Oryzias latipes: one gene and its partners. Each later gene encodes a partner of the first gene's protein in a complex. Links are inferred from orthologs where the notes say so. Each region holds a gene or a part of one and is shown on either strand. Other genes may lie near its edges.

What was found. Proteins that work in one complex are often made in the same cells at the same time.
Region 2: the proteins of mtor (region 1) and mlst8 are in contact, whole or in part, in a crystal structure (PDB 4JSV), measured with the Homo sapiens proteins. The link is inferred for Oryzias latipes from reciprocal best matches to the Homo sapiens genes MTOR and MLST8. Residues at the interface, in NP_001373429.1 of Homo sapiens: Leu2269, Arg2270, Met2271, Ala2272, Pro2273, Asp2274, His2277, Leu2278, Thr2279, Leu2280, Met2281, Gln2282, Val2284, Glu2285, Val2286, Glu2288, His2289, Asn2292, Asn2293, Glu2536; in NP_001186102.1 of Homo sapiens: Tyr20, His22, Asp42, Ser43, Gln44, Val45, Asn46, Tyr62, Asn87, Glu105, Gln148, Thr174, Arg221, Tyr222, Leu224, Ser268, Arg270, Gly271, Trp272, Trp274, Ser290, Lys313, Val316.
Region 3: the proteins of mtor (region 1) and fkbp3 are in contact, whole or in part, in a crystal structure (PDB 5GPG), measured with the Homo sapiens proteins. The link is inferred for Oryzias latipes from reciprocal best matches to the Homo sapiens genes MTOR and FKBP3. Residues at the interface, in NP_001373429.1 of Homo sapiens: Glu2032, Tyr2038, Phe2039, Gly2040, Arg2042, Tyr2088, Val2094, Leu2097, Tyr2105, His2106, Arg2109; in NP_002004.1 of Homo sapiens: Lys160, Pro161, Leu162, Ser163, Lys170, Tyr198, Lys201, Gly202, Gln203, Pro204, Asp205, Ala206.
Region 4: the proteins of mtor (region 1) and rictor are in contact, whole or in part, in a cryo-EM structure (PDB 6ZWM), measured with the Homo sapiens proteins. The link is inferred for Oryzias latipes from reciprocal best matches to the Homo sapiens genes MTOR and RICTOR. Residues at the interface, in NP_001373429.1 of Homo sapiens: Arg1028, Asp1032, Lys1068, Leu1069, Asp1108, Asp1109, Tyr1110, Asp1150, Lys1187, Asn1196, Val1200, Gln1207, Asp1210, Val1211, Cys1214, Arg1215, Lys1218, Gly1219, Tyr1220, Thr1221, Leu1222, Ala1223, Glu1226, Glu1227, Asp1228, Leu1230, Ile1231, His1234, Arg1235, Arg1238; in NP_689969.2 of Homo sapiens: Leu204, Arg205, Gly206, Asn209, Arg245, Asp247, Val248, Glu249, Glu251, Arg252, Leu254, Thr258, Asp259, Phe260, His261, Tyr262, Arg263, His264, Ser265, Pro266, Asn306, Gly308, Ser311, Gly314, Val315, Cys317, Ile318, Pro319, Glu345, Ile347.

What each region holds. Positions count from the first base shown.
Region 1 is NC_019865.2:1,195,842-1,200,005, forward strand, and holds part of mtor (serine/threonine-protein kinase mTOR), read right to left. Parts: intron 3,318-4,164; coding exon 3,150-3,317; intron 2,047-3,149; coding exon 1,934-2,046; intron 1,042-1,933; coding exon 879-1,041; intron 434-878; coding exon 341-433; intron 1-340. UniProt on the Homo sapiens protein: Serine/threonine protein kinase which is a central regulator of cellular metabolism, growth and survival in response to hormones, growth factors, nutrients, energy and stress signals.
Region 2 is NC_019877.2:3,130,530-3,135,458, forward strand, and holds the start of mlst8 (target of rapamycin complex subunit LST8), read right to left. Parts: upstream 3,343-4,929; 5' UTR 3,094-3,342; coding exon 2,965-3,093; intron 2,452-2,964; coding exon 2,400-2,451; intron 2,330-2,399; coding exon 2,167-2,329; intron 2,095-2,166; coding exon 2,019-2,094; intron 1,943-2,018; coding exon 1,790-1,942; intron 1,707-1,789; coding exon 1,582-1,706; intron 1,500-1,581; coding exon 1,336-1,499; intron 372-1,335; coding exon 253-371; 3' UTR 1-252. Other genes in the region: meiob (meiosis-specific with OB domain-containing protein), read right to left, coding at 3,979-4,092, 4,176-4,262, 4,355-4,541, 4,615-4,759.
Region 3 is NC_019882.2:10,163,775-10,168,715, reverse strand, and holds fkbp3 (peptidyl-prolyl cis-trans isomerase FKBP3), read left to right. Parts: upstream 1-1,599; 5' UTR 1,600-1,630; coding exon 1,631-1,735; intron 1,736-1,844; coding exon 1,845-1,946; intron 1,947-2,017; coding exon 2,018-2,116; intron 2,117-2,854; coding exon 2,855-2,990; intron 2,991-3,065; coding exon 3,066-3,133; intron 3,134-3,203; coding exon 3,204-3,301; intron 3,302-4,105; coding exon 4,106-4,160; 3' UTR 4,161-4,333; downstream 4,334-4,941. Other genes in the region: fau (40S ribosomal protein S30), read left to right, coding at 1-20, 132-187, 303-428. UniProt on the Homo sapiens protein: FK506- and rapamycin-binding proteins (FKBPs) constitute a family of receptors for the two immunosuppressants which inhibit T-cell proliferation by arresting two distinct cytoplasmic signal transmission pathways. PPIases accelerate the folding of proteins.
Region 4 is NC_019867.2:18,765,159-18,769,834, reverse strand, and holds the start of rictor (rapamycin-insensitive companion of mTOR), read left to right. Parts: upstream 1-1,334; 5' UTR 1,335-1,352; coding exon 1,353-1,401; intron 1,402-1,526; coding exon 1,527-1,574; intron 1,575-3,836; coding exon 3,837-3,934; intron 3,935-4,676. UniProt on the Homo sapiens protein: Component of the mechanistic target of rapamycin complex 2 (mTORC2), which transduces signals from growth factors to pathways involved in proliferation, cytoskeletal organization, lipogenesis and anabolic output.

The sequences.
Region 1 (4,164 bases):
CTCCAGATTCACGACGATTTGAATAAAGAAAAAAATTTATGCAATTTATGCAAAAAGACTAAATGCAATTTAGTCTTTTATCCTCCATAACCACAAGAACGTGTTAAAAACAACATTTTCATTAAAGATGGGCAGTCAGGATCTCTGCTGAACTTCCCAGACATCAATACCTCCAGGAGAAGCTGACAGGGAAGATCTCTTCTTTAGATTAAGACATTCATGGTCAAATCCCGAGGAGAAGTTTACGTCCTGATATTTGGACCTCCGGGAACCGGAGACAAATCCCCCAAATTCAGTCCCAATAACTCTGAGTACATTTCCAGAAAGCAGAAGAACTTACTTTCACAATGCGGCATATGAGAATGTCGTAGCGCTGGTGATTGATCCTGTGCTTCAGCATCACTTTGTTCACCATGGGGATAAATATCTGGTACTGAAAATAAGCAGAAAGAGAGGCCATGTAAACAAAGACTACACATGCTTGATGCGGTGGGCCCAGCTACAGTTTTTTCCTTTCTCCATAAAGTAAATAGAGGGCCATGCGGCACTAACATGCAACCTCCATGAGTGACGGATCAAAAGCCTTTCCTGTGGCTTTGCTGCCAGTCATGACTGGAAGGAGGCCTGGTGGTTCTGAGGTTAGACCTCAGGACAATAAAAAGAGTGAAGAGGAGAAGGGTCTTGAGAGCCCAGGGTACATGTGTCCTCATCCACTCTCATAAACAACACCCCCTGCTGGCAAACAGTCTGTGACATCATTAGTCTGGCAGGAAGTAGCAGAGACTGAGGAGGGTTACGGAAACCTGGTTCATGTCTGGCCAACAGAGTAGAGGCCGGCCTACAGAATAACAGCACACTCCAGGGACCAATGTGCCTACCTTCTTTCCCAACTGGAAAACCAGTGAGGACAGGGTGTCCATGGAGGTGGACCGTAACTCAGGAGTGCTGTCAAGCGCCCTAACGATGGGGTGAATGATGCGAGAAGCGTAGTCTGTGAAGTCCAGGGACTCCGTCAGCCTGTCGAGGGTCTCCAAGGCAACCCTGAACCACACAAGAAAACAGGAAACCGATCCGGTTCACATGAAAACGTGCTCACAAACAGAGCTATCTGAGGCGCTTTAGCGCCGCTCTCTACATGAAAGAACAGGAACCACCAGGAAACGCCTGCTTTTAGCTCCGTATCATCCACACCTGGTTCTTCTCACGTCACAGTTTACTTTCATTTACAGCGTTCCCTCGTTTTAGCAGGCATACGTCCTAAAAATGACCCGCGACCGATGAATCTGTGAAGCAGCATAGATGTTTAACTCAACGCTGCACACTTTCTACACTCTTCTCAGGCAGACCTCAACATTTTCCACACTTTTCTCTTTTGGTTAAAGACTCTCAAAGTTCAAACCTTCATGGAAAAAACCGTCCAGAAACATAGATCTGATCATGATCGAAGATTTAGCCAATGACACGGATTGATTGACAAAGTCTACAGCCAATCAGGACACAGAACGCAATGCAAAATTAAAAAACAATAATAAAAGGATCCAACATTTTCCAGAATAAAAGTCTGTGAAAGAGCGAGACGGTGAAAGGTGGACCGCGATACAGCGAGGGAACACGGCATTCCTATGGAGCTGTATTTATGCCGCCGCGTTGCACACAAAACTCTTCAGGTTGCAAATAAAAATATTAAATATTTGCTGTCAAATTATTTTTCTTTGCTTTCAATTTTTCTTTTCCGTTTGATGGCAGCTTTGTCAGCTAAACAAACTTATGAGAGCAAAATCAAAGATAGGAAAACAGCGAGATGAGTCACAACGCATGAGAAAACATTTGTGTTGCAAACGGAAACATTTTATTTGAAAGCAAATATTTAATATTTTCATTTGCCACTACAACGTGAGATGTCACTCCATATGGGATGAAAGTCAGAACTCACTTGCGGGCCTGCAGGGGAACGTCGGGGGCATCAAATAGTTTGACAATGGGGGGCAGCAGCAGGTGAAGGTAGTCGTCCAGGTTAGCACCAAACAGCTGGATGGCATTTAGCAGCTGCAAGAACAACATGGATGAAGACTCCAAACCCCCCCCCCCCCCACACACACACACACCCCTCACCCGCCCCCCCCCCACGAGGAGTCAAAGGAAGAGTTAATGACTCTAAAGTCATCCAAATCCTGTAAAAAGTTCAATATATGGTTTGAAATAAACTCTGGTTCATCTGGTAAAAGTGATATGAGAGGAGCAAAGGATCATGGGAAAACTTTCCAGAACAGTATAGGCCTTTTTGGTTCTACAGTAAAAATCCTTGTGTGAAGAATGCAGACACTCTGGGGTCTTAAAAGGATGACGTATGCTGCAGACAACCCCCCTCCCAGCATCTCTGCCCCCCCCAGCAGCCTATGTCTAAAGGGCACATGGCGAGACGGCAGGAAGCTGAAGTGAAGGCGTACGAGTATTTATGGATATGCTGTAGGATGGGGGGGGTGGGGGTGGGAGCTGAAAAAGATTTGAAAAAAATGGAAAAGTTTGTTTTCCTTTTCCTTTGGACCAGAACCTGACACCCCCTCTGCCGCCCCCGTGAATCCATGAACTGCAATTACAGACTCTGCAGACCAGACAGAACCAAACGGATTCCCACAAACTCCAGTAAAGCTGCAGTGCTGCAGGTCCATGGAGTTTTTACTGATGCACTAAAGCTGGGGGTTGGTGGGGGGGGGGGGGGGGTGACTGGCTCTGGTCAGAGCCTCAGTAAGTTGGCGGTAAACTGATCTGTGGTTCTGCAGGAGCATGGAGTGAAGGAGGACCATTTGAAACTGTTCTGGACGGAATCTGCAAAGACCTGTATTGACGTTTTGGAGGTTGAACCTCATGGATGCATCTTAGGACTGTTACGGGTCACATGCAGGCGGGAGGAAGGGCCCCCACAGGACTGCTGTGCATGCTGCAGGTCCCTGCTGGGGTCAGTTCCAACAGGGAGCTGCTCAGCAGGCATGTTAGTCTCGGTGACAGGAAGAAGGAGAACCGACCTACTAAGGCTCAGTGCATAGATCTATACACGGACAGATACCACAGTTGGAGAAAACCTCACAGGACCGTTAGAAAACACAGCTCAACAGCAGCAGCACAGAGCTCCAGCACGCGGAAACACCCACCTTGATGGTTACGCTGCGGCCGGTGCTGTTGTCGTGCATGAAAACGCGCAGCATGTGTGGGATGAGCTGAGGCAGGTAGAGCTTGAACTCTCCACCGAGCGCCACCACAATCTGCTCGATCAGGAGGATGATGGTGTTCTGCATGGGGTTGTTGGGAGTCCAGTACTCCTGCAGCACAGAAGCCCAGTTCTGGTGTCATTTGCTGTGTTCTTCAGTGTTGAATCACACAAACATTAGTTTAACATTAAATGCCAACAGCCTGTGATCTTTCTTCATTCCCCTGTCCCGTTTACAGCGGGAGACGGACCAGACCAGCATTTGGTAACAAACCTCACAAAGACAAAACACAACCCAACGCCAACGGCAACACAACCCGACACAAACACAACCCACACCCTTCCAGCCTGGATCCACACAACTGCAGGAGATCCTCACAAGATGCTGAGACGCTTCTGTGCAAACTTAAAGGCAGGATTGGATCCTTTCAGTTTATTTTTGTCTTGCTGTTGAGGATCTTGAACCCTGGGAACCTGCTGCTTCTTTTCTTGGTTCGATCACATTGACGCACAGCAATGCCTCAAAATAAACGCTTCAATAAAATCAACGTAAAGAGAATTTCGTACTTTGAAGTCTTTCTGTGTGTCTTAATACTTTAACATTTACATAGAACTTCAGTGATTTGTTGATTTGAAGCTATTTTCAGAGATAAAAATAAAGGAAAAAGACTATAGAACTATCAAATCCATTTAAGATGTTAATTTATAGATTGATTGGAGGGTAAAAAAATAAAGAATAAAGCCTTGGAGAGGTCTTCATAACAGATATTTGTCCATCAGGGTGACGTCAAAGAAATAGAGATACAAGAAGAAAAGTCAATTAGTCTGCATAATTGTGGGATAGATTAGATGTTGGAGCCAGACGTCGTCAGCAAGTAGTGATTGGTCTGAGTCGCTATGAGTCATCAATTCTATGGCCACCACTTCTGGCCAATCAGGAGTGAGCTTGTTGGAAGGCC
Region 2 (4,929 bases), on another chromosome or scaffold:
CTCTTCACTTGATATGAGAAAGCAGCTCCGCAGCGCCTCCTCCAGGCGGGAAGCGGGAATGACAGCGTTCCTTTTGCTTTTAATAAATATCCTGGGAAATGTTCCTTCTTACTAACAGATTCACAACAAAATTAAAAAAAAATAAAACGGTCACCCTCTGGATTTGAATTTTTGTGCCGAACGATTCCGGGTTTCATTTGGACAAAACTGAGCAGCGGGTTCAGCTCCGGCTGACGGCGTCCGTCGTCCTCTTCAGCCGAGCACGCTGTCGTTGAAGGCCAGACACACCACGGCCTTCTGGTGGCCGCTGTACTCCCTCTTGATTTCGCCGGTCTCGACGCACCACAGACGAGCGAGATTGTCTGAAGACGCTGCGGAACAAAAACGCGACTTTACCTCCATTTTTCTGCTTCAACTGATTCCTAACATTAAAGAAACAGCTGGATAATGATAAAAACCGGGATTATTACTCCGCCCCGCAATAATCCTGGACTACGACGACCAGATTGGAAGGAAGTTTTTTTAATTATTATGGGATGGCCACAGGTGCCACGGCTTGGTGGTCACTGTGTGGCAGAGAGTGACGTTTGGTGATTTTCACATTCGTCTACAATTTATTCTACAATTTACAATTCAAAAGTCTTCAACAAGAGCTGAAGTTTCATTGACCTTTGACCTCGGGAAGAAGCTGCCATCTTGAATTTTGTAAAAAAATACATATTTATCCCGTTTAGTCCCAGCTACAAATTTAAACTCCTCCTAAGAATCGCCTCCTGACTCCTGGAGCGGTGTCCTTGGGAAACTAATTGGAATTTTGGAAATAAAGTTTGTGGATTTTGAACGGCGAGTTCACAAAAGTGGCGATTTCCTGTTGTGGGCGCATTTTTTACCGGAATATTGAGAAAATGGAGCGCACCTCTGCTCAAGCTGAACCAAACGATATGACAAACAATATGAACATATAAGAAATGTGGGTGTGGTTAACAAAAATCCTACGTTGCTAAGGAAATCCAAAAATCTACTTTTGCAGATTCTTCTAAAAATGACCGAAACCTGTTCGTCACCCCGCGGTGACCAAAAACTGAAATGGTTGCCATGGAGATAAAACCATCAGAAAAGCCGCACTTTTGAATAAAAGTGTTCTCTTTCATGAATTTGTGACCAGACTGGCAGAAGGGGAGGGTGAAGGCGGTTCAAAAGGGGGCAGTGTCCTCTGCAGGTCATGCAACGCCGTTTACGGCTTTAATTTTATATTAAAGTTTGCTAAAACATGCCATTTTTAACTTTAAAAACTCAGCGGGACAAGGGGACAGACCCAAAGGTGAAGGTACGCACCTGTAACGATGTACTGCGAGTCTCCGGAGAAGGCGCAGTCCCACATCCAGCCTCGGGACGTCTCCCCGGGGTTGTTGCTTTTGATGCTCAGCTCCGTCATCAGGGAGAAGTTGGACGTCCTCCAGATCTTGCAGGTCTGATCCGCTGAGCAGGTGGCCAGTAGTCTGGAGACATTCAAGGAGAAACATCAATGAGGTTTTTTTTCTGTTTGGCCTCACGTCAGGCAGAAACAACAAAAAGCCTCACGTGGAGTCGGGGCTGAACTTGCAGCGCAGCGAGTATCGTTTGTGCGCCGGGATCTTCGTCTTTGGAATGAGCTGCGTCACTTCGTCTCCCATCCCTCCAGCCAGGTTCCACACGTAACAGTTTCCCTGTTGGGGGGGGGAACAGGAACCTCACTCTAGTTTCTCTCCAACCCCAGTTTTTGCGTCCCATGTTCAGTTTGGGGACGCACCGAGCTGTTGACGGCTGCCATGTAGCTGGCATCGGGGTCGATGTGGACAGAGTTCACCGAGACTTCTGGCTCTGGAATCAGCTGTTCGTTGTGGTCCGTTTTCAGGTCCCAGATGTGAATCACGCCACTCTGATCCCCAACAATCAGCTCCGCCTAAAAGAAAAATCACAAAACGCTGACAAATCTACAGATAAATCCACATCAAACACCTGTGCAGCTTTGAGGATACCTGATTGGGATGAAGACACACACAGTTGATGGGAGCGTTTACTTGGAAGATCCTCTGACACTGCAGGTTTCTTGACCTGAAAGGAGGAGGGTTGATAACAGCAGAGTGGATTTCTGCCGGGGTGTGCGGTGGAGGTGAACCGCCGTACCTTAGGTCCCATATGCGAGCCATGCAGTCCTCTCCTCCGGTGTACATCCAGCGTCCGTCCTCATGGAAGCCCACGGAGGTGATGTTCTTGCTGACTCCGTCGTAGTTGATGACGGGGTTTGGGTTGTTGGAGTTCAGGTCGTACATGCGGATGTGCTGATACCCTGCAGGAGGAAGAGGAGGAACGCGCAGTGAAACGCCGCGCAGCCTTCAAATGGGAGAGTTTGGACTGACCTGCGGCGGCGATCATGCTTCTGTCCGGGGTCACTTCAAGGGAATTCACTTGCTGAAATGACGAGTTAAAGGCCCACTCCGAAAGTCGCGTTTTTGAGGTATTTAGCATATATATGCCTTTTATAGCATTTTTCTACAACAAAATACATATTATGTATGAGAATAATGCTGTAAAATATTAAGCCTATTGCATTTAATTAACAGTTGATGGTTTTATTTTTAGTGTGTGTGGTGAATCAAACAAAAACAAAACAAAAACGGATTATGTCAAACAAGTTAGAGCAAAGGTCACCTGTATTTTATTTTTATTTAACATAATACCGTTCCGTAGTAAAATTATTATTAAAAAGTAAAAAAAAATTACACTAATAAATTTGTAAAAGTATAAACAACAATAAAAATGTAAAATTTTACGAGACTAAAGTCATAATTTTGTTTTTCAATTCAGTAAAGCTCCGAAATTGGGGGCCATTTCGTCAGGTTGGGGTGTGAGCGGCTGTAAGCCAGCGGTAGCGCATGTAAACAGAGAGCTCTCACCGAACCGTTCTAACCAGGGAAAGGATACCGAGTCCTGATGCTGCACCGTCCGGGTACAGATCCCGCTGTGGGCCTGCCAGAACCGGACTGTGTGATCGTATCCAGCCGTGGCCAGGATAACCGGGTCGCTGCCCACCGTGCCCTGGTTGACATTCATGCTTCTCCGCTAGTGTGTCACGGTTACAAACAACACCAGAACCCGTCAGTCCACTTAGTTACATCTGACGAACTCGGTCCAAACGATCGGCCAACGACGTCAGCTCAAGCTTTTTGAAGTTAACTCTTTTAAAGAAAAGCCGTTTTAAAAATATCTGAATGTGAGAAAACATCTAAAAATCTGATAAGAATTCGCTTTACAGATTTCCTGAAGCCATCATTCGCGACTGCGGTACGTCTGACTAACGCGTCCCCGATAAACACAGAAGTGTGTCAAACGTTCCGCTTTGAAAAAAAAATTGTTTAAATGCAGGAATGCAACGATGTAAAATAATAATAATAAAAAATAAATCATAATAGAGGTAGAATCATAAAATCGCCTTTTCCCACACTCTTTCAGGTAATTAATCAACTTTTATTTGGCAATCATTACAATAAATGTGCAAATATGTCTCCTTATGATTCAGAGTAATATGTCAAAAAATATTTAAACATATTGTTTTATTTCTTTTTAATCATTTTTATGAATTCAAAATTTTAATACATATTTTTCTTTTTTTATGGTTAAAATTGCTTTAAATAAAGCATTTATTGTCGCTACATAAAATCTACATCATTCTTTTTATTTTAAATATACTTTTTTTTATAACAGTTGCTTTTGTTTTTTTTTTCTTTTTTAATTGTATTTTGTGATAATAAATCAGAATTTTTTTTCAAAACACAACTTTATTAAACAGGAACAATTTAACGCCTTTTTTTAAATAAATCAATTTATATCAATAAGTTAAATAAATAAGAATAAATAAATAAATAACAGTTGAAGCATCTGTTTACATTGTAATTAGCGCAGAACAAATGTAAATAGAACAGACTTCGCATTGCTGGTTCAAAGCTGCTGCAGAACAGCCGACATATGCTGCTTCACCTCTCCTGGGTCGGCCGGAGAGCAGGCCAGGATCACCCCCCTGATGCCGCTTTTCGTTCTCGCAGAGGGAAGGATCTGCGGCAGACGATCTCATGAACAATAAAAACACATCACAAAGACAAAAAAAAAAAAAACATGCCTTTTGAAGGCTGGAATACCTTCAGGTATATTTTGCATCTTTCCAGAAGAAACTTCCACTTGAGAGCGGTGCGCTGATCATCGGTCAGACGGATGAACTCGTCCGTCTGGAAGCAGGCAGCAGCATATTTAAGAGAAGTCTGTGGATCTCAGCAGTTTGGAGCTGACCCCCCCCCTCAGCCTCTGAGGAGTTACCGACCGAGCAGCCGAGCGTCTGCTCCGCCGTGGCGCCCCGGAGGCTGCAGGCCTGCAGCGTGCCGGTGTGGTCGGTCAGGTCCACCAGCAGGTCGAAGCCTGTGGTGCCTGAGAACGGCTGCTCCCCGCCCGGACACAGCTGGTTACCGCAGCTCTGCATGTCCGCCGTCAGCAGGAACCTACATTTAGAGCTGAAAAAAGCCCAAATCGAAGCACGGACAGATGGAAGGAAAGAAGGAGGCCGTGACTTTGGTGCGATCGTACCAGCGGGTCTTGATGACTTTAGAGGCAGAGGAGTCCAGGTCCAGCTTGGAGATGAAGCTGTAAGTCAGGCCGAAGAAAGTCTCCGGTTGCTCCTTGGCCTTCAACTTCAGCTGGTTGACGGTGTAAACGTCAGTGATGGAGTCCACTGCAGGCAGAAAACAAACACAAACACGCAAAAATGAAGCCACAAAAAACAAACAAACACCAACTCTTATCAACAACCGGGTATGGAGTCTGAATGATTTACCTTTTGGTTTACGGATCCTCTTAATAATTATTCAAATGTATTATATTTAATAATAAAGCATTTAGCTT
Region 3 (4,941 bases), on another chromosome or scaffold:
GGCCGGCAGGCTGCTGGGAGGTCAGAAGAAAGATGAAACCTTCATTTTCTCATTCTGTGTGGCTTTGTGCACAATTCTCAGATAAACAAGAGAGTTCAATAATCAAAGACCACCTTTTGTCCTCCGAACAGGTAAAGTGCACGGCTCTCTGGCTCGTGCTGGAAAAGTGAGAGGACAGACTCCTAAGGTGAGAGCTTTTTAAGCCAAATATAATTCAACCTGGGGTTTTGTATCGTTTTGGAGCTGATGTTGTGAGGCGCTTGATGCTCTCGTTCCTAACCCTCAGTTCTTGTGTTGTCCAGGTGGACAAGCAGGAGAAAAAGAAGAAGAAGACCGGCCGCGCCAAGCGCCGCATTCAGTACAACCGGCGTTTCGTCAACGTAGTTCCCACTTTTGGAAAGAAGAAGGGGCCCAATGCCAACTCCTAAGAGGTTGTGTGACCTGGAGGTGGACCGGCACAGCTGGATGTTTTCACTTGACATCTTCTGTACAGAATAAAAACGCTGCTCTGGCTTCCCCGGCTATCGTCTGCTTTAATAGTTTCCACACGAGTAGCCATTTCAAAAATGGTTCTGTCCTTCTGGTTCGGAGTAGGAAATCAGTTCAAATTTAGTTGTTTTGCTCAAGTTCAATTCTCTTATTTCTTAATCAAGATGAGGATACACTTCATACATAAAATTCAGGCAGAATCGCCCTGTAGCATGTTTTGTGTCTGTTTGGAAAGTTTTGGTGTCCAAAATCAACAGTTAAAAAAATGACATAAAGAAAATAAAGTGAATTCAGAAACATCTGGATGAACTTCAGTGGTGTTTCACTTTAGAGGCTGCATTATAAACCCAGATCTCCTAAATAACAAACTCAAGGGCTGTCTGCACTAAAATTCACAAGTCTTTTATCTGCAATTGAGATAATTAAGATTAAACTTTAGCAAATGAGATCTTTTATGAAAATGGAAAGTATCATATTCCTAGTAATGTAATTGCTATTTTAATTTCCTGTTAACATGACAAAAAGCAATGATTTAAACACATTTTTACTTGACCTATAAAATAAGAGATAAAGATGTAATTGAAAGCTATCCCTTATTTTATTCTGAAAGTAGTTTTATTGCAAATGTTTTTTGCTCCTTTCTGTGAGTGGATTTTTAAATGAAAAAAAATTTCTAAGAACAAAAACCTAAATGGCAGGGATAACTTTGTAAATTACTGGTATAACAATTTAACCCTTGTGCTATCTTAGATGACCCCACCCTTCCATTGACATGTTCTCCATACCATGACAAAGGTGGATAAAGGTGGAAAGATTTCATGTAATCCATGGACACCATTGAAGATCACAAATCATTGAAGAAAAAAGGTTCAGAGCACTGTCTAGTGGGTCTAGATGACCCAACTCCCAACGTTAAAATGCCTAGGATAGCACAAGGGTTAAAAAATGTTATTGGTTAATCAAATAAGTTAATAATTAGAAATATAGCCATTTTGTCTCTTTCTGTGGATAGCTTTTGAGTTAATAAAATACAGTTATCTTTTACATCACAAAAACACGCTTTTATTTTGAAAGCTTGTCAACGGGATGACGTATACGTGCACAACCAATCAGAGAGACGCTGGACTGACCCGCAGTAAAGATGGCGGACGAACCCATGCGTGAGTGGACCGACGAGCAGCTCAGAAGTGACAGTGTGGCCAAAAAGGACTTAATAAAGTTTTTACAGGACCACGCGACTCACACGGTAGGAAAACTACGCGCTCGAGGGTTTACTATCTTATAGCTGTGATACTGCTGAGCGGTTGTTATGATTCAGCGCGTCGCAGCATGATGATGTAATTATTGTCTTGCAGTTCCTTTCTGAGTACAAACTGCTGGGAAACATAAAAAATGTCACCAAGACGGCGAATAAAGAGCAGCTGGTGGTCGCCTACAACCAGCTGTTTGAGAGTAAGGTGAGAGAGGCGGGTGAGTTTGTGCCGCAGACTAATAAAGGTTTGATTCAAAAACACAAACATGTCTTCAGAGGTTTAAAGGGACTGAACCAGAGGAGCTGACAGAGAAGGTGAAGGCGGTGAAAATCGAAGACAAGCCCAAAGAGGTGAAGGCGGAGCCTGTGGATGAGGTAATATCTGCTTTGATTTATCCCAAATTCCACCATTGACTGTAAATGAGAACTGGAGAGAGTCTGATGACACCCATAGAAAATATCTTACTTCCAGCTCCAACAAAACCAGGTCAATTCAGTCGCCCTTCTTCCAGAATATGGCTGTCGCCATGTTGGAACCAGAAATTGGCAGTAAGCAGTGATTGTCCCGAGTCCGGAAGAGTCAATGTTTCTATGGCAACCCTTCTCACCAACCAGGAAGGGGTTTGTTAAAAGGCCACACCCCCACCCCTTGAAACAGGCTTGAGAGAATGTCGATCTGTCAATCAAATGCTTTGAATGTTTACAGCGTGAGACCACAAATTTTTACCAAGGCATCCGAGTGGTCCGTGAAAACGTCTTTTATTAAGAAGACGTTATAGCAAAGGTATCAGAGCAAGAATGGTCATTCTGACCAATTGAATGACTGACTGAGTAAAAGCTGTTTATTTCTCTAGAGACGTCTATGGGATTTTGGCTTCTTGGAGTCAGCGGGTACTCAATCCAATTCTCATATACAGTCCAGCACTCGGGTTGGTTTCATGTTGTGATGGTCTCAGAATTGAAACCGAAGACCGAAACAGATCGAACTGTCAGGGAAAAAAAATCCTGCAATTCCAAACGCCAATCACTTTCCCCCAAGTGATGGGTTAATCTATTTATTTGACTTCATGAGGAGTTAATGTGAGTTTTCACACGGTGTCCGTCTCGTTTCAGGGTCCCCCTAAATACACCAAATCCACCCTGAAAAAAGGTGACAAGACCAACATCCCGAAGAAGGGCGACACGGTGAGCTGCTGGTACACGGGCAGCCTGGAGGACGGGACTGTCTTCGACACCAACATCCCCGCAGGTACCAGGAACTGTGGGCCTTGACTTTTCCAGAGTCGCTCGCGGCTCCATCGTCACTGCTTTCTCGTTTCCATAGCGGCAAAGAAGAAGAGGCAGACCAAGCCGCTGAGCTTCAAAGTCGGCTTGGGGAGAGTGATCAGAGGGGTACGTTTGCCTTCTCTCTGTTTATTCACGGCTCTTTGACTGACCTGTCTGTCACCCGCTGTCGCCACAGTGGGACGAAGCCCTTCTGACCATGAGCAAGGGGGAAACTGCACGGCTGGAAATTGAACCAGAGTGGGCGTACGGAAAGAAAGGCCTGCCAGACTCCAAGTATCCTTTCCTGCTGGACTTTTATTTTGAAGTGTGCAGACATGGATGACAGGGTTCTAGTATCAACCCGTTACTAGTGAAAGTAGTTGGAAGAGTTTTGGGGTGAGAAATGTTGAAGCGGTGTAAATCTTTTGAATCTTGCTCCAAGCCTCTTTCTGTAGCTGCTCTTTTCCAACATATGAAAAGGATGCTACCCATACGTCCCTAAAAAACCTGAGTCTAATAGAAAACCCACAATGACCTCTGAAGAACTTTCCAACTCAATGGCAATGGAAACGGAAACCTCGGGATCGGCGCTTTGAGGAAAAATGAGCGGTTCGGTATCAAAAATGTGGTGTCAGTTGGACATCTTCCTGCAGGGAAATGACCTAAACCACAAACATCTACCAGGGATCTCCAACCCTGTTCCTTGTGAGATACTGCCCTGCTTGTTTTGCAGCTAAGCCTGCTCCAATCATCACTGCTCACCTGGATCAGGTGTATTCAGTCGATTAGACACTGGGCTCACTCAGTCCAGCCAATCAGGACTTACTGCAGCAGTTAGCTGTAAAACAAGCAGGGCAGTAGCTCTCAAGGAACAGGACACAGTTCTTTACACAAGACTCTTCTGAAGTGAAACCATCAAAACCTGAGACTTTTGCAGCTCAATTTCATACGTTTTGCAACAGACAGTGAAGCTGAGAGAATTGTGTCTTTCGTCCAGGCCTGCTTCTGCATTGCATCAGTTTCTATGATTTAACTCCAAAGGGATGTTTTTTTGATGATGCTGAAGGTTTGTTTTCGCCTGAACTCCTTCTTCTCCAGAATTCCTCCAAACGCAAAGCTGATATTCGAAGTTGAACTGGTGTCCGTGGACTGACCGCTCTGCGCAGGTCCTCGCTTAGGCCGACGGATCGCTGTGGTGGAAGTTTTGGCCCAAATGTCCAGCATGAAGCCTCCCGAAAAAAAGAGCTGGGCCATACCAGGAAAAAAAACAACCTCATTTTATTTTGTTTACAAACTCTGAACTAATAAAGTTGTTTTCTGTCAGACAAAGCCTTCAGTTGGTTTCTTTTATGTATGGATCACCAAAATAAGCAATCCAAGTCAGATATATGTATTTTTACAAATGCAATCTGTTATCTACATGTAATAGAAAAAAAGAATGTGGGAAAAATACTAGGTTAATTTCAAAAGCTAGGGCTTTCTCACACAGCAGAAGAGCAAACCAAAAATGAAAGTAGAGTAAACTGCTCGGGAAAAACTGCAGTTCCAGCATCAGTCCATTGGAGGGCAGTGTTTCCCAAAGCAAACTGACCAGGGTGAGGAAGAAAGCAAAAAAAAAAAAATTGCACCTCCTCTGGTATCCCACAACCCATTTTGCATTGTTTTCCTTTTGTCCTATTGTTTGCGTCAATTACTCCCTCTTGTTTAACCCTTGTGCTATCCAACGCACTTTAACGTTGGGAGTTGGGTCATCTAGACCCACTAGACAGTGCTCTGAACCTTTTTTCTTCAATGATTTGTGATCTTCACTGGTGTCCATGGATTACATGAAATCTTTCCACCTTTATCCACCTTTGTCATGATAGGGAGAACACGTCAAAGTAAGGGTGGGGTCATCTAAGATAGCACAAGGGTTGTGCATTCATTCATTCATC
Region 4 (4,676 bases), on another chromosome or scaffold:
CAAGCAATCAAATAGGAATAATACATAAAAACAATACAATCATCAGTTATAGATTCGTACCACAACTAATCAAACTTTGGATAATTAATCATATAAATAAATATTGCTTGAAAGGGAGTGGAAGGAAGCGAACTTATATAAACCCACCCCTGTTCTACCGTAACCATTTTATAACATGATTTATCATTATCCGGTTAAGTGGCCATCTTTTTTCTGTCTTGGTTTGTGTTCGTAAAGCATTAGCGCCATCTAGTGGTTAATGTGGTCATAGCAACCTGAGTTTTCTTGCAGCTTTTAAAAAAAAATGATAATATAACAACTGAAAATGTTGAAACATTCGTCTTTTACTTTTGGTACCTCTGTTTTTTAATGAACCAGTTATTCTGTAATTTACACGTCTTGAATTTTTTGCATGAAAGAAGTCTTTGGTATCACAACGTTAGTAAAAACAAACACGTTTTTTACTCAAGAGAGAAGCTAAAAATAATTCATGTATTGTTCATCGTTTAGAGTACACTTCTATGAACTCAAGTAACAAGCTCTGTGGGACCAGCTGTCATAAACTATACAGCGACAGACATCAAGACTCATGATCAAGACTCATGAGGTTGGAATGAAAAAGTAGGTCAAGGTCTTTCTGTAATTGCAAAATCATTTAAGCAGGCTAATGCAACAAAAATCCCTTTGGGTTTGAACAAAAATAGTCTCTGAGAAGATGAAAGAATTATGTTTTTGCTGATATGTGTGCAGAAAAAGGAGCTGCAGTGATGTCCAAATCCTCTAAGCAGGTCCATTATGTGCACTACTTGTGTTGTACTTATTATTGTTATTTATTCTTTGAATATTTCCTATTTGTAACAATAACTTTAACATAACACAACTTGCCTTAAATCAAGTTAGAACATATTATTTTTTGTTTTCAACTTAAATATTTCCCTAAAGTTAGGATAAAAACATACGTTTAAACCATATTACAAAACATTTTGCACAAATTATTCCTGTCACTAAATCCCAATCATACATGAAAACATGAACCATGACACAAACTCAAACAAAAAAACTAAGATTTGTTTTTATAAAAACAAATTTAGCAAATTGGTCATGCTGAAAAATATTAATAAATAAATATTACATTTGCAATTAAAACTCGAATACTGCTGCTAACTAAACTGTTTATTTCTGTCGTTCAGTCGCCAGGTCAGATTATTTTTTCATTGCCGTTGGAGGTTAAGGGATTAACTGGGATTCGCCTGATCCCAGATCTGTGATTTGCACCGCAGCGATTTGCGTTTGATGTCCGTGTTCTCGCGACATTCCGCGAAGTTTCCGGTGTTGTGTATGTTCCTGGAAACATGGCGGCCAGCTTCCGCGGCCGTCCTATCCGGAGTCTTCGGATGCGAGGTAAGCGTGAAAAACTCAGCTCATAATTTGTTGGAATGGCAGCGTATTGCAATAAGAGCACGTCTCCCACAAAACATAGCATTGAATTTGTCCTTCAGCGTTTCCGTTGCGTTTGTTTTTGTCAGGGCGGAATGACAGCGGGGAGGAGAACGTACCGCTGGATCTGAGTAGAGGTAAGCAGAGGCTCATCATTCTAAAAGCTATTATTGCTCAAAATGGATTATGGTTGACTTTATGCACAAAATATACGAACCTCTAAATGAACCACGAGATTGCCACGTGGATGCATTTTTAATTAAACGTTTTATTTGTTGTTGTTTTGTTCAAAAATCTTCCTTTGTGGCTATAAACAGGCGAGAGGGAGCTAACTAGCTAGCTGATTTAGCGTTAGCTGGCTGCCACAGCTAACCAGTCATGACGATGCGCTGTTGTTTTGGTAGGCGTGAGTGGGCTGCAGAGCCTGCTATTTAGCGAGACAGCCATTAGAGTTGCATTAATACACGAGGCTCCGCTGGCTGTCAGAAACCCTGAGCTTAAGCCGGTTTGCTGAGCAATGCACATACGGGCTTTTTTTTTTTTATTCACAGCTCAGCCGAGTTAAATTTGCTCATCTAGCAACAGCACTGTCTGCTTGTTTGTTTACACCAACCAGCGGCTGTTTTCTTTGTTTGGAACCTTTTGCGGCTGCTAGGCACACTTGACTCACGATAAAAGCACGATCAACGAGTTCTGATGGAAACATTTCGGTCCTAAATTAGGAAAACGATTACGAACATAGTTTGTGTTTTTTGTCAGCTTAGGTTTTTATATAAAACGTATCTTACTGGAACAAACTCAACCATTGATGGGGGGTATTCCAGAAAGTAGGTTATGCTATTTACCACGATAAGTTTGAGGCTAAGGAAGCGGATAGCCTCAGCTTTTGGTTCCAAAAACAGTGGTATGTTTCAGGGTATGTGAAGTTGCTATAGCAACTCATGCTCTGAACATAACCTGGTCTGGAGCAGGTTTAGTTGAAGGTTAGTTGGTTTCAGAGAGGTGAAGGAGCATGCAGTGTCCATTTGAAGATGATTTAGTGGATGAAGAAGCTCAGATAATACTTTTTCCACCATGAGAGGGTGATAAGACCACGTATGGATGTTGGAAAGATGAACTTTTTTACATTAATCTAACTTAATTATTTGCTTCAGTTAAGATACATTCTTTTTGTTACATGAGCTTAAAAAGAACACTAAGTTATCAGACAGTTATTTTACTTTAATTCAAATTAATTCAATTAAGTAGGTGTAACTTTGGTGCTGCTGTTAGATCGGCGCTGCAAGGAATTGTGGGATACCATTCCCTTTGCCTGTCTGGACGGATTTGGGTTTAAGTGTGGGTTTTTGACCAAATGTGTTTAGTTGTTTATCTGTTTTACTGTGTATTTCCGAGTTATTTGTCCTGTTGTGTTTAATTCTTTCTGCACCATGAGTGAGAGGGAGGGAGAGAATGATGAGGTTATTTAGCACCCCTACTGCTCAGTGTTGTAATGTCAAAGTCAGAGAAAGGATAAATGACTTTAAGTTTTGTGTTGTGAATCTATATTGTTTCATTCATTTTAATGTTATAAAAATGAGAATATCTACAGGCTCAAATGTAGACATATGAGAGTTCAAGAAATACAATAAATTAAGATGGAAAGACATTTAATTGAATTGGAGTAATATGACATTTAGTTAGAAAAATATGTAAATTTGAGATTTCAGCCAGAGTTCAGGGTTAAAGTCAGGGTAGTTTAAACATGCTTCCTGGATTACCCCCCAGGAACGTTTATAATGCAATAACACCACTGTTTCTTAAACGATTGATCGATTTTTGCTTCACGGATAAGAAGCTAAAGTTTAAGGTATATTTATACACCAGTGCTTGTTTGCCTTTTTGCTTTTGATACTTTTATCTTAGCATCATATAGGAAATCTTCTTAAATGTCAACCTCAGTTAAACCATTTTCGTGGTATTCTATTGTTTTGTTTTGTAGCTGTACGGATTTTTCCCCCTTTGTATTTGAAGTTCTAAATCTTGTTAAAATATCAGTTTTTTTTATGGAGAGATAATATAAGACAATTTAAAACATAATCTGGGATTAGGATGGTCTATTTACGTGTTTGTGAAATGGATTTCTTCATTGATTGGTATATCTGACATTAGTTTCTACAGATATTAGATGTCTACATATGAAATAACCTCGCAAGTGTTTTAATATTTTATCAAATAATTAACATTAGATGAATTGTTGGAAAGCAAAGTCTAACTTGCTCGACTTTGCTTTTTGCTATAAAGGTCTAGTTTTGACTGCATAAACGTAAAACTAGTAAACTAATTGATAGCCCTTTCCTTTTCTCCTGTAACCACAGAGCTATTTTGTCCACTGAAATGGTCTTTTTGTTTCCCTCTAGAACCATCAGAAAACTTCCGGGAAATTCTTCAAAATGTGGCTAAACCACACGGAGTTAGCAACATGCGAAAACTGGGCCACCTGAACAACTTCATAAAGGTAAGAATGCTGCAGCATTTTTTTGCTCCACATGCAGCTTTTTAAGGAAGATGACTGTAGATATATTGAATGACTGATCAACTACTCTTCCTCTGAAATGTAGCTGCTGACCTGCTGAGGTTTATACCACAGTTTAGATTAAAAAAAAAAAAAAGCTCTGGGGATAGAAATGCATCATAAGCTTCTATTCAACTAGAATAACCTGCTGGCTATAAAACTAAAATAATATATATATTTTTTTACTGTAAACCCTAACTTGTTTCTCAATTTGTTTTCCTATTCCTCAGTATGTTTGGATTATGTTTAATATTTGTTGCAAAAGTGAAGATTCTCCTAAACTTATCTGACTCCGGTGGCAAAATTGTTAAAGAGATGGAGACAGTTTTAGGTCCATCTAAATTGGAACAAGATCAGGGATTTCAGAGCACCTCTGAAGAGACTTTAGAAAGGCTCAGACCAACCTTTAATAGCACAATGTTTTAACAAGCAGTTGAGTTTCACCTCCATCTATCCCCGCAAAAAAAGTATATATCACCTTTGACACACTAAAAAACGATTTTTGCAGCTAATTTCCTGCCCGGAGGTAAGAAGACTTGATCTCTGAAGCACTGCCTTTCGCTCCTTGTGGGCGTCGCCCATTTCAGGACGTCAACCTATAGCTGGCCTCGGCGGCGTATCTGCGTTTCGCCCAAAAAACAAACATCATCCAAACTTTTGTAGAGATGGTTGTGCATATTGTGGA